3 linked regions of the Drosophila melanogaster genome follow. Each later gene encodes a partner of the first gene's protein in a complex. Each region holds a gene or a part of one and is shown on either strand. Other genes may lie near its edges.

Region 1 (3,373 bases):
TAAGCAATTTCCTTTTGGTAAAATTAAGTAAACATTGAGCTTAAGCTAATACCGCGTATGTACACAATACTCGAGGACGACTGGCTGGCTGAAATGGCGGCGCAGGCTGGGTTTGATCTAGTTCATTGGTCTACGATTGTGATAGGTAGAGACCGTGCTTGGCATCACACACCACATTCAGGGCGTAGAAGTCCCAGTAGGAGGTCATGTGGAACCCCATGTTGGTCAGCACCACGATGTACTCGAACAACGCGAAGAAAGTATAGACTGTGGATAGAAAAGATTCATTATAAGACAATAGTGGACTCACAACCGATTCCCACTCACCTCCCGCCTCGCAATGCGAGTTGTGCCTCACGAAGCAGTATCCTGCCAAGCCAAAGGCGATCACATTCACCAAGAACAGATTTCTCTTGTACCTCAGCGACTTCTCCTCGTGCGGCAAGAGCACGGTCTTCTGTATATTCCTGTTCAGCAGGTAGGAAACCAGCATATAGCACTCGGAACACGCAATGAACACCACAAATGCGTTTCTGTGGGTCTCGTAATGATCCGCAGAGGTCCAAAACGACAAGCAGAAGAGGGCCAGATCCTCCACGACGTTCAAGAAGCAGGCCAGGATGCCCAGCAATCTTCTGCTCCGGCGGATGTGTTCCCGATAGTGCTCCAAGTAGATTTTGGCAACTGCCAAACGGAGTGGTAAATGCAGAAATATGGCCAGTCTCCAGACGGTTTTTTGGGGCTCATAGTTCCCAATGGCCGCCGAGACGGAGGGCAGATAGTTGGTCACATCGCAGTGGGTGTAGGTGCTCCTAACGAAGTCAAAGGTCAGAGACCAAATCACGCAGAAGAAGAAGCCTCCCAGGGGCAAACTAAGAGCCACCAGTGCCAGTCGCGCAAAGGGAAGCCGGAAGAGGACGCTTTTGGGATCACTGAAGCGCTCGTAAGTAGGCAGCATTTGACCTTTGGAGTGGGTGGACTACGTGGGGTGTTGGTCGGGTTGGGTTCTTCAGCGGCGCTCGCTCCTCATTTTTCAGTTCCTCGCTCCCAAATTAACTAATGGCTTTTCACGCAGATTGCTTACGTTATAAACATTGCGAAAAGTTGTAAACAAGTGATCGATACCAGCTGACTATCGGCCTCTGGCGGCGGGGGTGGTTCATTATCGAATTTACTCAGTGTTTAATGTTTAAATTTCGAAGCAATTCAAGTGTTGCTCTTGTGTAAGTGAAATTTTTGAAACTGGCTCGTTCATTGTAGATAAGCCCTTTTATCAGCAACACTAACGGGGCGGATACTTAATTTCTATGTAATACTTTAGTCGCCAACAGTGCTGACCAATATCAACTTACTTTTGTAGCTAAATAGCTAAAATGTTATTAATGGCGGTTTAGTTAAATAAGGTCATAAAAACAAGTATTTTCTTACTATGACTAATCTTATAAATTAAAAACATTTGGAGACTAAAAATATTTATATACAAATATCTATTCCCTGAAGTGGACAGATTTGGCTAATAAACAGCTAGACGGCCATGACTGTCTTGCCTTGCGAACTATCGATATCGATAACGCCGGTTGCGTGTCAGCACTATTCGCACTGAAACAACAAACACGCGCAAAAAAAGAAGAAGGAAACTGCATTGTTTACCAGATTTCGGAGTTTTTCCTCATCTATCCGAGCATCCGCGAATCCGTCAGAGATGGACATCCTTTTGGCCAACGTAAGTGGGCTGCAGTTCAAGGCGGAGCGGGACCTCATCGAGCAGGTGGGTGCCATCCCGCTGCCGTTCTACGGCATGGACAAGTCCATTGCGGCGGTCTGCAACTTCATCACCAGGAACGGACAGGAGTGCGACAAAGGGAGCGCCTGTCCCTTCCGACACATTCGCGGGGACCGGACGATCGTGTGCAAGCACTGGCTGAGAGGACTGTGCAAGAAGGGCGACCAGTGCGAGTTCCTGCACGAGTACGACATGACCAAGATGCCCGAGTGCTACTTCTACTCGAGGTTCAACGCCTGCCACAACAAAGAGTGTCCCTTTTTGCACATCGACCCGCAGAGCAAGGTGAAGGATTGTCCGTGGTACAAGAGAGGCTTCTGCCGCCACGGTCCCCACTGCCGGCACCAGCATCTGCGCCGTGTCCTGTGCATGGACTACCTAGCCGGCTTCTGCCCCGAGGGCCCGTCCTGCAAGCACATGCATCCGCACTTCGAGCTGCCCCCGCTGGCGGAACTGGGTAAGGATCAGCTGCACAAGAAACTGCCCACGTGCCACTATTGCGGCGAGCTGGGCCACAAGGCCAACTCGTGCAAGCAGTATGTGGGCAGCCTGGAGCATCGCAACAATATCAACGCAATGGATCACTCCGGCGGACACTCGGGCGGCTACTCTGGACACTCCGGCCACATCGAGGGTGCCGATGACATGCAATCCAATCACCACAGTCAGCCGCATGGTCCCGGCTTCGTCAAGGTGCCCACGCCCCTGGAGGAGATCACCTGCTACAAGTGCGGGAACAAGGGCCACTACGCGAACAAGTGTCCCAAGGGTCACCTCGCCTTCCTCTCTAACCAACATAGTCATAAGTAGGACGCTCTGCTCTGTATGATTAGACTGTAAGAGTGCAGAAATAAAGGTCGAAAGCGGTCTGCATAGTCCGCTGTGTAGTCCAGAGGTCGTAGGTTCCCAACTTCCGCAGGCGAACGTTTCAATCATTCTGTGTTTAAAGTGTATGTTAAGAAACTCATTTGCATTTTTGAAAAAAGTCCCTAGAACTGCCAGTAGAACGTATTGTGTTATCAGCGAAATAAACTTCCATAAGATACAAGTAAGCAATTCGTTTTGGAAGGGAGTTTAGTTGTATGTTTTGGGTTTTCTCCAAAAATATAAATGTATCATGTTTTTTCGTTTGTAAGATAACAATTTGTGCCTCACAATTTTTTTTCGGATTCAAGTTTCGAATTTTTGGGCGGCGAATCGTCTTTTCCAAGTTTGCAACCACTCTAGAGTTGCCTCACTTTTGTCCACATCTTTTGAAAGGCGAATTAGAACTGGTCACACTGGCTTGTCTGGATCGAGATTTCAGCTCGTCAACAATTGCGCACTAAATTTTCAGTAAAAACAAACAAGTTGGTCGTGCGGAGGCATCAAGAACACAGCATACGAGCAGCCATGACAATTCTGGGAAAACTGCGGGGACAGCCCACGGACCAGGAGAAGGTGCCCCTGCCCATGAACCTCAACGACGAGGCGCTCATGCACCATGGCTCCCTAATCGCAGTGAGTTTTGCTTGGCATCGCATCTGCGGGATGTGTCCTTATTTTTGCGCAATCGTGCTATGTCCTTGTCCATCCCTCGCGCCCTGCCCG
Region 2 (7,969 bases), on another chromosome or scaffold:
ACACTAGAATAACAAGATGCGTAACGGCCATACATTGGTTTGGCACTATGCAGCCAATTTTTTAGCGACGGCCAAAATTGCTCTCTTTCCGCTCACTCCCGCTGAGAGCGTAAGAAATCTAAAAATTTAATTTGCTTGCTTGTGTGAGTAAAAACAAGAGTCGAGAACTCGTATATGTGTGCGTGTTGTGCTAGAAGACGATTTTCGGGCCGAAATCAATTCTGATCGAAGAAATGAATTTACATAGTACATATTAGGGTAGTTTTTGCCAATTTCGTAGCAATATGATAAAATAAAATAATTTTTAAAAATTCGCGCCCTGATTATTATAATTTTAAAGCTTTTTAAATTCGTTTGTATAAATCGCCGCTCGAATTAGCTATCGTTTACACATTTATATTTATGTTTAATTCTAATTTGTCTCTCATCTGACAATTTTTTAAAAGCGAAATATTTTTTTTGAAACACTTTTAATGTTAATGTTACATCATATTAAGTCAAATGACTTAATAAATATACTAAATAATTAAATATGATAACTGTTTATTGCAAAAGTAATATCAAAGACACTAGAATTATTCCAGTGTCTTTGCTTTGTTCATATCTTGAGGCACGAAGTGCGGACACCAAGCACTCAACAATCATTGCCTTATTAATTTTTCACACGCCGCAAGATGAATACTCTAATGACAAATATTCTTATATAAAGTCATTTTTGAAATTTATTTTTGTGATAATATGTACATAGATTTGACTATTTCTAATCTATTTTCAAATAATAATAACGTTAAGGCAATGCAAAACAAGAATTTTTCGCATGGTGCCAATTGATCAAAAATAATATAGATTTAAAGTCAAAGAACTTCTAAGGTGAAGGGCATATTTTGTCAAATTTACAATGCATGAGCATACGTGTGCACACATAAAGTTGTCTGCTATCACTGTATGCGTAGAAAAGAGCGGTTCGCTGTAGCGCTCTTCGCTCTCTCGCTCTCTAACAAAAATTCGAGAGAGCCTGGAGCCACCTCTAGAGCCACGGCCAAAAAATTGTGTGCCAAAAAATCGTATGGCGTTACGCATCTTGTTATTCTAGTGTCTTTGATTAGACCCAATACTTCGGCCATCCATGTTTTTGTCTTTAAGATAGCATACATTTTTAATTGTATTATTGATATACAGTCCAACGAGCTGCCATAGCGCTCAGAATTGTGTTCCAGACCACCAAAACCATAAGAAACTCCAAGTTTACTTAACAAAATACTTTGTTGTGCCTATAAAACTAGATTTACAATTGGGAAACTCGTAACATAAATTACAAATACAACTATCAACTAAAACTTTACATCTTTCACACTATAGGATGTCTAAAAAACGCTGGCTAGTCGTTCGATTTCCAGCAAATCCCCCAAGATTTCTTCAGTGCGCGTGCCAATCTTTTTCGCCACTTCATTGCGTTCCGAATTGGCCATTAGTCGATATGACCAAATTAAATCTCCGTCAATGATGCAGCGAGACGGGTTGATGCCTTGTTTCTTGGATGACTTGAGAGTGCGGTATTCCTTGGGATTGAGGCCGCAAAGGTGTTCCTGATAGGAAAGGAGCACATTCTGCAACATAAGGAATCTCCTGTAGACTTTCTCGGGAAGGGGCAAGCAATATCCCAAAGCTCCATCCAGCGTGCCATAAACTACGAAATGCTTGTTTTCGTAGAGGAAGGGTTGTCGCTGATGCAATCCCTTTTGATGGCACTGCACCCGAAACATGGTGTTTACCACCTGACCCAGGTGATAATCCGCCTTGCGGAGAAGTTTTTGGCCACCCAGTGATTCCCTGGCCTCCGGCTGATACATGTAGACAATTATATTGCGCTCGGCATCGGTCACCAGGAAACCCAGATTTGAGTTATCCACCATGAATTCAATTCCATAAACCTCCAGAGGATTAAAATCTCGCGAGGCCAGCGACAATGTGCGATACTCCTCCTGGAAGCGCAGCAAACTTATGGATTTGTAAACATCTGCAATAAAAATCAGGGATTTCACGGTGATAATCTGATGGACATAGATATTTGTATCTATAAAAGCCACTCCAATAAGGTCTCCATCACGAAGTTGCCAAATGTAGATCTTCTGGCCAAGTCCCGTCACCAGAAAACCCAAAACATCTGAAATGGCAGAAACTGGTCCCTTCTGCTCCTTCTTAAATATTTCCTTTATCTTGAATTTGGTCATCGGTTTTCCGGGTTCGGGAACCACTTCTATAATATCATATATATGAATATTTCCTCTGCTGGTAATATCCTCACTGTAATTAAAGTTAGTTCCAATGCAAAGGTATTCCTTGAGTCCTGATCTTGTACCTTCGTAAGACAACTTAACGATCTTAAAGGCGGTGACGTGTTCCCAGGGCTCAAAGGTAATTGATGCATCTGGCACAATTTCCCAGGTTTCTGGTGATATTAAAACCATTTCGAATTGCGAGCCAATGGGGTAGATGAATCTCTCGCCACGGCTTTCCTCGGACAGCTCCTTATCCTCGCCGTTAAACCGATAGTACTTGGTCATCGGTTCCTCCGTTTGAGTGATTAGGCAATAAACCCGATTCTCGCGATGGTAAACAAGTTGTCTTGGTGTACATCTGAGAGGAACCTTTCTCACCGGCCAAACGGAGTCATAACTCAAGTAGCTGGGCAACACAGAGATCTTAAGCTCATAGGTTGTGTCAAAGTAAAGGAATCCATTGGGAATATTAACATTGTTGAAGGCAGCAAAGCTACGCACATCTCCGTTACCAAGCAGCCGATGTATGCGAAGTTCTCCTCGGAATGTTAGGAAAACAAAGCAAGGATTGACGCCGCATACCATAACGCCGGAGAGTCCTCCAACGTTGGCGAATGGTCGTAGTTTTTGGACATACTTTGGTTGCATTTGATAAGATTCTATCTCCTCCTGCTCATCGTTCTCATCCAAGTCAATATGCGTCGGCTGTTGGTCCAGCAAATTCAGTTGATCCATCTTTCGGAAACGTATCTTCAGGTGACCCTTGGGATATCGGAACACCTGGTATATTAGCAGCTCTACTCGAGTCCTGACCAAAAGTAAAGGTCTTTCTCCATTTAGACCCAAGCCTATTACACTCAATTCCAATGGCAGTGGAGAGTTAGCATGCTGCGGCATACAAGCCTGTACAATGCCCGCCTTCGAGTTCTCCTGCGTGGTCAGTGAAATCGGCACGAATTCCATTGCATCCGTAAGAACCATTGAACCATTGCCCACATCGTTTACGAGATACACAAGCTTCATGTCCGGCATTGAGTAGATCTCCAAGGTGCCACTCTGACGGGCAACCACTAACCAATAGCTGGGCTTTGCTTGCACAAGAAGGCGTCGCCACCAGTCCGAGTTCTTTTGTTTTGATTGTTTCGCCAAATCCGCCATGCTGTTCATCTTGAAGGCACTTCCGGCATCGCCGTAGAGCAGATCTTCTTCGTCCTCCACCTTCATGTTGGGCTCGGCCTTCATGTAGCCGCCAAAACTATGTCCAAATGCACTGTTTGAGCTGCCGGTCAGGTTTATATCATCACCTTTCACTGTGAATAGTCCTGATAAATCTTTATATGCCGAAATGGCAACCACTGCGGGTGAGCTGCTAATGGTATGCTTGTTGATAGCCAAACGAGGAGTTCCACGGGTTTCTCGCAGCGCTAATGTGATAACCTGACCGTTGAGCACTCGCAGGCAAACGTAGGGATCTGCTATGGACACCTGTACCACTGGCGAGCCCACATCAATGGGGACATTTTGAATTAATCGAGTTCCTTGCAATAATCTGACATGACGGGTGGTGACCTAATGAATAAAGAAATAATTATATACAAAATACCATTAATACGACCTCAAACTAACCTGAACAATGAACCGCTGCTGTCCGAGATTACCGACAAATATGGTCGGCTGGTTAACCGTAAAGCCCGTATTCTCGATTTCATTAATTTCCTGTCCTGTTTGTAAAACCAATGTAGAATTCCTTTGTGAAAGCAACATGAAATCATGCTGATCATTTCGCGAAGACTTCTTAGTGGCATCATCAAACACAGTCCACACATCGAGGCACCCATCTAACTCAAAGCTTGTTATGATTTGAGGATTAATGCAGTTTACAAATACGGACAGAGCTCCGTTTTTGCTGTGACCCGTGGCAGCGACTAGTTCTATCTTTAGATCTTGCAGAGATTCCGCATGTGGTCGCAACGTAACGCCATCCTCTTCGAATTCCACTCTTTCTCCGGCGCACATGTAGTTGATTGGTGCTACATTCATTAGACTGTCGCACACCTCAAATATGAATTTTCGCAGCTGAAGAACCGATGCCTTAGCTCCAGAACCATACACCTGTAAAAACGATCAAATTTAAAAACAATTCAAAACTTTAAGTATATTGTTTACAAACCTCTAGTTCCTCATCCTCAATACGACGCGATTTTGCTTGGGTCGGTGCCATTTCCAATTGATCTACATCAAAAATTTCCTCCAAATTCTGATCCTCGTCCTGCAGATTCCTTTGCTGCTGCTCCGATTGCTGTTCCACCTCATCTAACGTAATGACCGTGCTCTGGTCCTCCTCTGTAAAGTGCAGCAATAAGGAATTTCCGAGACGTGATCCCAAAAATATGTATTCGGAGTGCAGAACGCAGATACAACTAGTTAGCACACTGGCGGCTGCTTTGTGGAAATGGAAGTTCCTAACCGTTCTCATTGAGTCAACGCAAAGCGTAAGCACGTATAGATCTCCAGTGCGAAGCGAGATTACCAGCTTGTCGACATCAATAAATGCAAAGTTAGCACAATCCAAACTAATACGAACGCCATCCTGTGGCTTCAGTGGAAATGCGGTGCTGTTATCCGCTGAACTGTTTAAACTGACGCCATATGGAGGGACACTCTGATTGAGATAGATTACAGCATTGACTGTCATTACCAGACAACCCCCAATTGGCTTCTGAATCGGGTAAACCTGCAAGGGAAAAATGACACATTAAACGTTGTGACTCCTAAAAGGTAAGTGGCATTTTCAAACACCCACTTGTAGGCAGTCAAAAGGTAGACTGTTCACGGTCCAAATAATCGGATGCACTCGCTGTTGAATGTTCAACGAAATGGCCACCAAAACGCAAGTATCGGAGCGCACCTTTATTCTTCCCGGACAGGTTCGCACCGGTTCGTAGAGTATAAGCAGCGTTGGTTCGTAGTAGCCGTGCAGGAATTGTATGTCCAGAACATTGTCGATCTTCTCATCAAGATCTCGCAGTGCTATCAGGTACGATGCCATAATAGGCGTCCTGCTGACCATTGCCGTCGGAGCCTTTTTAATTGGCTTCACATCCGCTAGCTCGATCTCGTCCAGGCTGTTGTCCTTGCGAAAGGGCAGTACCACCAGCCGTTTGCCGTAGACCAACATGACGGCACACCTGGAATCGGGATCTACGCGAACTGTGGGCACAAAATAGCGACCCGTCCAACCACCACGTATGTCATCTTCCTCGAAATAGTGAAGTGAGAGAGTTTTCAGCGCAAACGTATCGGGATCGTGCTGCAGTACGGACAATTTCGCGTCCTTGAAACTAATCAACAGCGCATCCCGCATGGCACCCGCCAATGAGACGCACTGCAGCGACATCACATTGCCGTAGAGCGTATATGTGGCTAGGCATTCCAGTCGCATTTTGGGCGCCAGACGCATCTCGCTGGGATTCAGCTTTTGACGCTGGCTCGCCTCCACGTTGGGCGCTATCCGGTACACCTTTAGTACATTGGCGCCCGCCACCACCAGGTTCTCATCCAGATTGTTAAAGAAGCGGCATGCTATCGAAAACTCCACCGCCGTGGCGGAGTGCGTCTGCTTGCACATCGAAAACATTGCGGTGGTTTAATTGGTGTCGCAATTTCTTAAAACATTATTAACAATTTCAGCCAGTTTAACAATTTGCCGGCCCAACACACACAGCAGCTGCGGAACTATCGATTGTGGGTGCAAAGTTATCGCTCATTGGATGTGAAAACTTGTTCGCCGTTTTAGTGGGTGGAATACCATATTGGCTTGATTTTTGTCTTGCTTTTTGTTTTAGCGGTTTTTAAGTATTTCGTTAGTTAATATCTTGCAAAATGTATTTGACCAAATAAAAGCTATATTTTTTTATCTGAACATGTAAAATGATACGTATGTTACGTATTTGCATAAGTTACGAGTCTAAACATTTAGAAATTATTTATAGTGCATTTTGGTCTTAGAGCTTGTATATTTTTATAACAATTATTTTGTATGCACACGTTATACAATTATATTATATATGTACGTAAATGTAACATAACTTAAAATCAAATAACCGCTACGTACGTAACGCTTCATATTTGCCAGCTTATTTCTAGCTACTTCTTGACCTGATCGTTCAATCGATAGTTGGCAGCCCTGGTGCGGGAGCAGTGACTGCGCAAATACATCCGCTCCTATCCGATGTATCGGATGCGACATCAACAACCCCATCGGACTTGGCAGGGCAGCCAGAAATTCGAGCGTTTTGCGTTTAAAACTGGCCACGAAAAAACATTAACTAGTTGGTGTGATTAGTGACTAGTGTTTGCGTTGTAGTAACTTAAACAATTTCATTCAATTAAACGCAGCTTTTCTGCATAGTGAGTGTGAGAGAGAAACGGGCGCTGCGCCCGATACGGGAAAACGCGTGCGCCAGAAAGGGACCGGCATAGTTGGCTAGAAAAGAATCATTTTGTAGCTGCTTTGTTTGTGTGTTTGGCATTCACATTTCCCCCATTCAATATTTAATTTAGTGAGCCATTAACGAGGCGGAAATCGGCATTATGCAAAAGATAGTGCTCTAGTACAGATCTAAATCCGTACCATAAATAGGTAAAATACCCGCAATTAGTTACTTAAATAGGAACAAAAGTCATTTTTCTACTTCTCCGATGTGCTAGTGTGCATTTGTGTGTGTTTGTGTGTATGTGTATGCGTGCGTGAGAAAAAAATATAACCAACTTTGCAGGTCGTTCGTATTTGTTGTTGTTACTGCTGTTACATTGTTGATTTGTTTAAAATTACTGCTGGCAAGTGAGAAAAGTCGTGAGGAAAACAAAAACAATAATTAAAACTAAGGCATAACAAACGGAAAAATCTCCGTATAGCCGCAATTTCATTACATATAAAAAAATAAAACACACGCACACACTTCTAACGAAATATATGCGCACATACATGCACACAGATGACGTACATACATATACAAAGGGCGCAACGTTAAAATTATACAGACACTTTTTGCCTTAAAATGGACAATTCGTTAGTGCAGCCGATCAGGATTAATTTCGTGCACTATAGTATTAACCAAAAACTAGTTTTGCCATCTAATATGGCATCTAAAATCGACTGGGAAGCTTGAAAATGTTAAAAACAAGCAATATTGGCTGAACCCCAACACGGATAAATCAAATAAACAAATTTAAATTTGAAAACTATAAGAAGTTACATTCATTTTTGTTACACATCATTTTGCATTTGTATATGATCATTGTCAAGTTGCCAAGCAATTTAAAGTAAAGAATTAATGCTCTGTTTTTAATTTATATCCAAATAAACCATCACATAACAAAACTATTTCATTGTTAACAAAAAAATAATATTAAATTATCTATTTCTCAACATTTCCAGTGTGTGCGGAAGAAACTTGCTTGACATGGGTGCATGGATCAAAAGTTCGCTGTAAATAGATTAGGCAGAGCGATTAACAATGAAAACCATTACGCCGGATACGACGACGACGACGTCGTCGCAGCACCAACAACTTCTCATTCCACAAGCGGATCAGCATCACCAGCCGATGCTGCAGCAGCAATCCCTGTTGGCCGCTCCACCGCCTACGATGATAATGGAGCATGTGAATCTGGTGGACGACGACGAG
Region 3 (4,671 bases), on another chromosome or scaffold:
TAACAAATACTGGCACTCAGGTATCAACCAGGATGTGCGTGAACAAACTGTGCATTCGCCGCTCCATTTCCGTGTACACCAGTGAGTTGAGTCCATCCGCGTGCTGGCGCAGAGTCGCCGATCTCAGCAGTGCCACGCGATTGGCATTCGGCTGCTCCTGTTTGTGCTTCAGCATGGTGTACTTACTGAACTCCATTGCGAATCGGCAAATGTCGATATTCAGGGCCTGCAGGCGCTCGTAGAGGTCATCGTCCTCTCCGCCCCAGCCGTAATACAGATTGGACATGCCGTTGATCTGCTGGTACTGGGCGGTGTTGATGGCCACCACGCCGCCGAAAAGACCGCGGTAAGGCAGTCGGAATCGCCAGTGATCCAGGGCAGAGCTCATGTGCCGTGGACGTTCGGAGCAGGCATATATTTGACCCGAATTCAGTGGCAGGAGGTCCACGTCATGAAGGATGAGGCAGGGAAATCCATACTCCGCAGCCACCTGGGCGCCAATGTTGAAGAGCATCGCCCTGTTAAACGGCTTATGATCGAACTGTTCGACCAGGAAAATCCGATAGTGGATCAGCTGCTGCGGCAGGTAATTGTGCATGTACGTGAGGAAGGCGTGCAGCTGCTCCTCCCGCTGCCTGTACGGCACAATGATGGCGGTGCTGTAGCGAGCCTGACATCCTTCCGGACGGAACTCGCCGCCAGGACGGATCTCCGCGCCCCTCTGCACCGCGTCATGGTAATGGGCCAGGTGGTAGACGAACCGGTTTTCGGCAATGATCTCCGAGTAGGTGCATTCGAAAACTTCCTGCTGGGAGACATTTCTGGTCACCTGCGGCACCAGAGCCCCCTCGATCTTTGATTCCTCGATGTAGTCGTAGTGCGATGCGAACCGGAAGGGCAGACACAGGTACACGATGAGAGTGATCAGTCCGATGGCGATGAGAAGATCATATTTATGGAAGCTGCGGACCCAGAGCCGCACGAACATTGTTGGCAGGAAAAGTTGACTCAGTGCGATCTTTGGAAACTCCGCATCCTAATTTCGGACGCAATCTTCGCGGCCGGTTGGCGAATAACAGCTGACGACCAGGGACGCAACGCATAAACCAACAGACAGTGAAACTTCACCAGCTCGAATTGTTTTTTTTTTGGTTTATTTTCTCACATAATATTCATTAATTTTTTAAATGGTTTTTACGAACAACTAAAGTCTACTAACCAAAAAGAAAATGTTTATGAAATCAATTTTTAGGATGCCTTTAATACAAAATAGCATAAGAAGTTGTTTTTATAAAAAGTATGCAACCGATTGGGCATCCATGGTTCTTTAAAACGGCATGACTCTACCCCACCCTTATTAATTAAACAATAATTTGATAAAAAGTTGTGTTTACTTATACTAGATTGTTGAGACTTCTATTGATAAGGATGCATAGTTATAAATGTTGACTCATTAAAGAGAAGGTAATTGAACTGAAGAAGGTTGTAGCCATATGTATGTATGGTTAATACATGAGAGACATAATCAAAGTTTTTAATTTATAACATTTAAAATGTCAATCTTTGTTTATTATCGGGTTGTACTGTTCGCTCAACAAGTACGTACTGTATAAACAAAGCAACAGCACTCTGGCAACGCCGTGACAGTTTCCCATCCCTGAACCGGCGAAGAACTCTTGGTTTCCTTTTACAATTTCTTAAACAAATGCACCGGTGGTTTAATTGGCAAAAATGACCTCCATTATCAAGCTGCACACTATATCTGGGGCGATGGACGAGTCCCCGCCATGCTATATCCTACAGATAGACGATGTGCGGATATTACTTGACTGCGGATGGGACGAAAAGTTCGATGCCAACTTTATCAAGGAACTGAAGAGGTGACAATTGTATACATATTTCAGGAAAACAATAACCTAAATATTTTGTGTATTCCCAGGCAGGTGCACACCCTGGACGCCGTGCTGCTATCCCATCCGGATGCATATCATCTTGGAGCCCTGCCATACTTGGTGGGCAAGCTGGGGCTCAATTGCCCCATCTACGCCACCATTCCCGTGTTCAAAATGGGTCAAATGTTTATGTATGACCTTTACATGTCGCACTTCAATATGGGAGACTTCGATCTATTTTCGCTGGACGACGTGGACACGGCTTTCGAAAAGATAACCCAGTTGAAATACAACCAAACAGTTTCACTGAAGGACAAAGGATATGGAATATCCATTACGCCTTTGAACGCTGGACACATGATCGGCGGCACCATCTGGAAGATCGTCAAGGTGGGCGAGGAGGATATTGTGTACGCCACCGACTTCAACCATAAGAAGGAGCGCCACTTAAGTGGCTGCGAGCTGGACAGGCTGCAAAGACCTTCGCTGCTCATTACCGACGCCTACAACGCACAGTACCAGCAGGCCAGAAGGAGGGCCCGCGATGAAAAGCTAATGACCAACATCCTGCAAACGGTGCGTAACAACGGCAATGTCCTGATAGCCGTGGATACGGCAGGACGAGTCCTGGAGTTGGCCCACATGCTGGACCAGCTGTGGAAGAACAAGGAATCTGGGCTAATGGCCTACTCCCTGGCCCTTCTTAACAATGTGAGCTACAACGTGATTGAGTTCGCCAAGTCGCAGATAGAATGGATGAGTGACAAGCTCACGAAGGCTTTCGAAGGTGCCCGCAACAATCCCTTTCAGTTCAAGCACATCCAGCTGTGCCATTCACTGGCGGACGTCTATAAATTGCCCGCTGGTCCAAAAGTGGTGTTGGCCAGTACCCCAGATCTGGAGAGCGGATTCACGAGGGATCTCTTCGTGCAATGGGCCAGCAATGCCAACAATAGCATAATCCTTACTACTCGTACGTCTCCCGGCACTTTAGCCATGGAACTGGTGGAGAACTGCGCACCGGGCAAGCAAATCGAATTGGACGTCAGGCGAAGAGTTGACTTAGAAGGAGCTGAGTTGGAGGAGTACCTACGCACACAGGGCGAGAAACTTAATCCCCTTATCGTAAAGCCCGATGTGGAGGAAGAGAGCAGTTCCGAGTCCGAGGACGACATCGAGATGAGCGTCATCACGGGCAAGCATGATATTGTGGTCAGACCGGAGGGTCGCCATCACTCCGGTTTTTTCAAGTCCAACAAACGACACCACGTGATGTTCCCCTATCACGAGGAAAAGGTGAAGTGCGATGAGTATGGGGAGATCATCAATCTAGACGACTACCGGATTGCGGATGCGACAGGCTATGAGTTTGTACCTATGGAGGAGCAAAACAAGGAGAATGTTAAAAAGGAAGAACCGGGCATAGGAGCAGAACAACAGGCTAACGGAGGAATCGTCGACAATGATGTTCAGTTGCTGGAGAAGCCCACCAAGCTGATAAGCCAACGCAAAACAATCGAGGTGAATGCCCAAGTCCAGAGGATCGATTTCGAAGGTCGCTCTGATGGCGAGTCCATGCTAAAGATCCTCTCCCAGTTGAGGCCACGAAGGGTTATCGTCATACACGGCACTGCCGAAGGCACACAAGTGGTGGCCAGGCACTGCGAACAGAATGTCGGTGCGCGCGTTTTTACTCCGCAGAAGGGGGAAATCATTGATGTCACCAGTGAGATTCACATCTATCAGGTACGCCTGACGGAAGGACTTGTCTCCCAGCTGCAGTTCCAAAAGGGCAAGGACGCGGAGGTGGCGTGGGTGGATGGTCGCCTGGGCATGCGGGTGAAGGCCATCGAAGCACCCATGGACGTAACTGTGGAGCAGGACGCTTCCGTGCAAGAAGGCAAGACATTGACTCTTGAAACACTGGCGGACGATGAGATTCCTATCCACAACTCAGTGCTCATTAACGAGCTGAAACTGTCCGACTTTAAGCAGACTCTCATGCGTAATAACATCAACTCGGAGTTCTCCGGCGGCGTGCTCTGGTGCAGCAACGGAACTCTGGCCTTGAGGCGAGTGGATGCCGGCAAGGTAGCCATGGAGGGATGCTTATCCGAGGAGTACTACAAGATCAGGGAGTTGCTGTACGAGCAGTATGCGATCGTTTAATATTCAAAATGACGTTTGTGTAAGCCCCTAATGTTTTACTTGTTAAGATTAGAAAGTTTTTATATAAGAGAATCAGTTGTACTTTATTGCCTACATAAATTGCAGCATGGGATCTTCTGCCCTTGGCCGCTTCTTCTTCCACTCCTCGATCTCGTCCTCTGTGGGCGCCTTCACATCATACATGCTGTTATAGGCTCGTTTGCGATCGTCCAGTTCCTCGGGAATATCTTTTTCCTTTGTCTTATCTTTGTCCTTGGTCTCCTTGTTCTTGCCTTTTTGTTTTCGCTGCTCCTTAGCCTTCTTTTTCTTCTCGCGCTTCTTCGACTTCTTCTTGGTCTTCTTCTTCTCAGGTTTTACCTCCTCCTCTTCGGATGAGGAGGGTTCCGAACTCGATGCTGAGTCCACTTCGGAAGTGGGCCTTTCAGGTGGCACTTCTGGTACCTTGAATTGGCTTTGAGCTGCAGGTTCTGTAGTAGCCGCTGCAGTGGAGCTCGTAGAATGATGTTCCGAGTAGCCCTCTGGCTCCTGCATGCCCACGCAGTAGGAGTTCTTGATGAAGGACTTGCAGCACTTGTAACCCCAGCGTCCGGCGTTCCAGAAACTGCCCCAA

Evidence for each region.
Region 2: Clp (region 1) and Cpsf160 share a complex: the UniProt entries of both Drosophila melanogaster proteins name them as parts of the cleavage and polyadenylation specificity factor (CPSF) complex.
Region 3: Clp (region 1) and Cpsf100 share a complex: the UniProt entries of both Drosophila melanogaster proteins name them as parts of the cleavage and polyadenylation specificity factor (CPSF) complex.

Annotation. Positions count from the first base shown.
Region 1 is NT_033779.5:818,377-821,749, forward strand, and holds Clp (clipper), read left to right. Parts: upstream 1-1,587; 5' UTR 1,588-1,702; coding exon 1,703-2,593; 3' UTR 2,594-2,833; downstream 2,834-3,373. Other genes in the region: PGAP2 (Post-GPI attachment to proteins 2), read right to left, coding at 131-267, 328-958; CG3662 (uncharacterized protein), read left to right, coding at 3,176-3,283. UniProt on the Drosophila melanogaster protein: Component of the cleavage and polyadenylation specificity factor (CPSF) complex that plays a key role in pre-mRNA 3'-end formation, recognizing the AAUAAA signal sequence and interacting with poly(A) polymerase and other factors to bring about cleavage and poly(A) addition.
Region 2 is NT_033778.4:14,497,449-14,505,417, forward strand, and holds the start of Cpsf160 (cleavage and polyadenylation specificity factor 160), read right to left. Parts: upstream 6,041-7,969; 5' UTR 5,917-6,040; coding exon 5,083-5,916; intron 5,014-5,082; coding exon 4,450-5,013; intron 4,392-4,449; coding exon 3,906-4,391; intron 3,849-3,905; coding exon 1,365-3,848; 3' UTR 1,110-1,364; intron 1-1,109. Other genes in the region: Asx (additional sex combs), read left to right, coding at 7,799-7,969. UniProt on the Drosophila melanogaster protein: Component of the cleavage and polyadenylation specificity factor (CPSF) complex that plays a key role in pre-mRNA 3'-end formation, recognizing the AAUAAA signal sequence and interacting with poly(A) polymerase and other factors to bring about cleavage and poly(A) addition.
Region 3 is NT_033777.3:29,032,932-29,037,602, forward strand, and holds Cpsf100 (cleavage and polyadenylation specificity factor 100), read left to right. Parts: upstream 1-1,641; 5' UTR 1,642-1,731; coding exon 1,732-1,880; intron 1,881-1,939; coding exon 1,940-4,061; 3' UTR 4,062-4,131; downstream 4,132-4,671. Other genes in the region: beta4GalNAcTB (beta1,4-N-acetylgalactosaminyltransferase B), read right to left, coding at 17-988; Slu7, read right to left, coding at 4,152-4,671. UniProt on the Drosophila melanogaster protein: Component of the cleavage and polyadenylation specificity factor (CPSF) complex that plays a key role in pre-mRNA 3'-end formation, recognizing the AAUAAA signal sequence and interacting with poly(A) polymerase and other factors to bring about cleavage and poly(A) addition.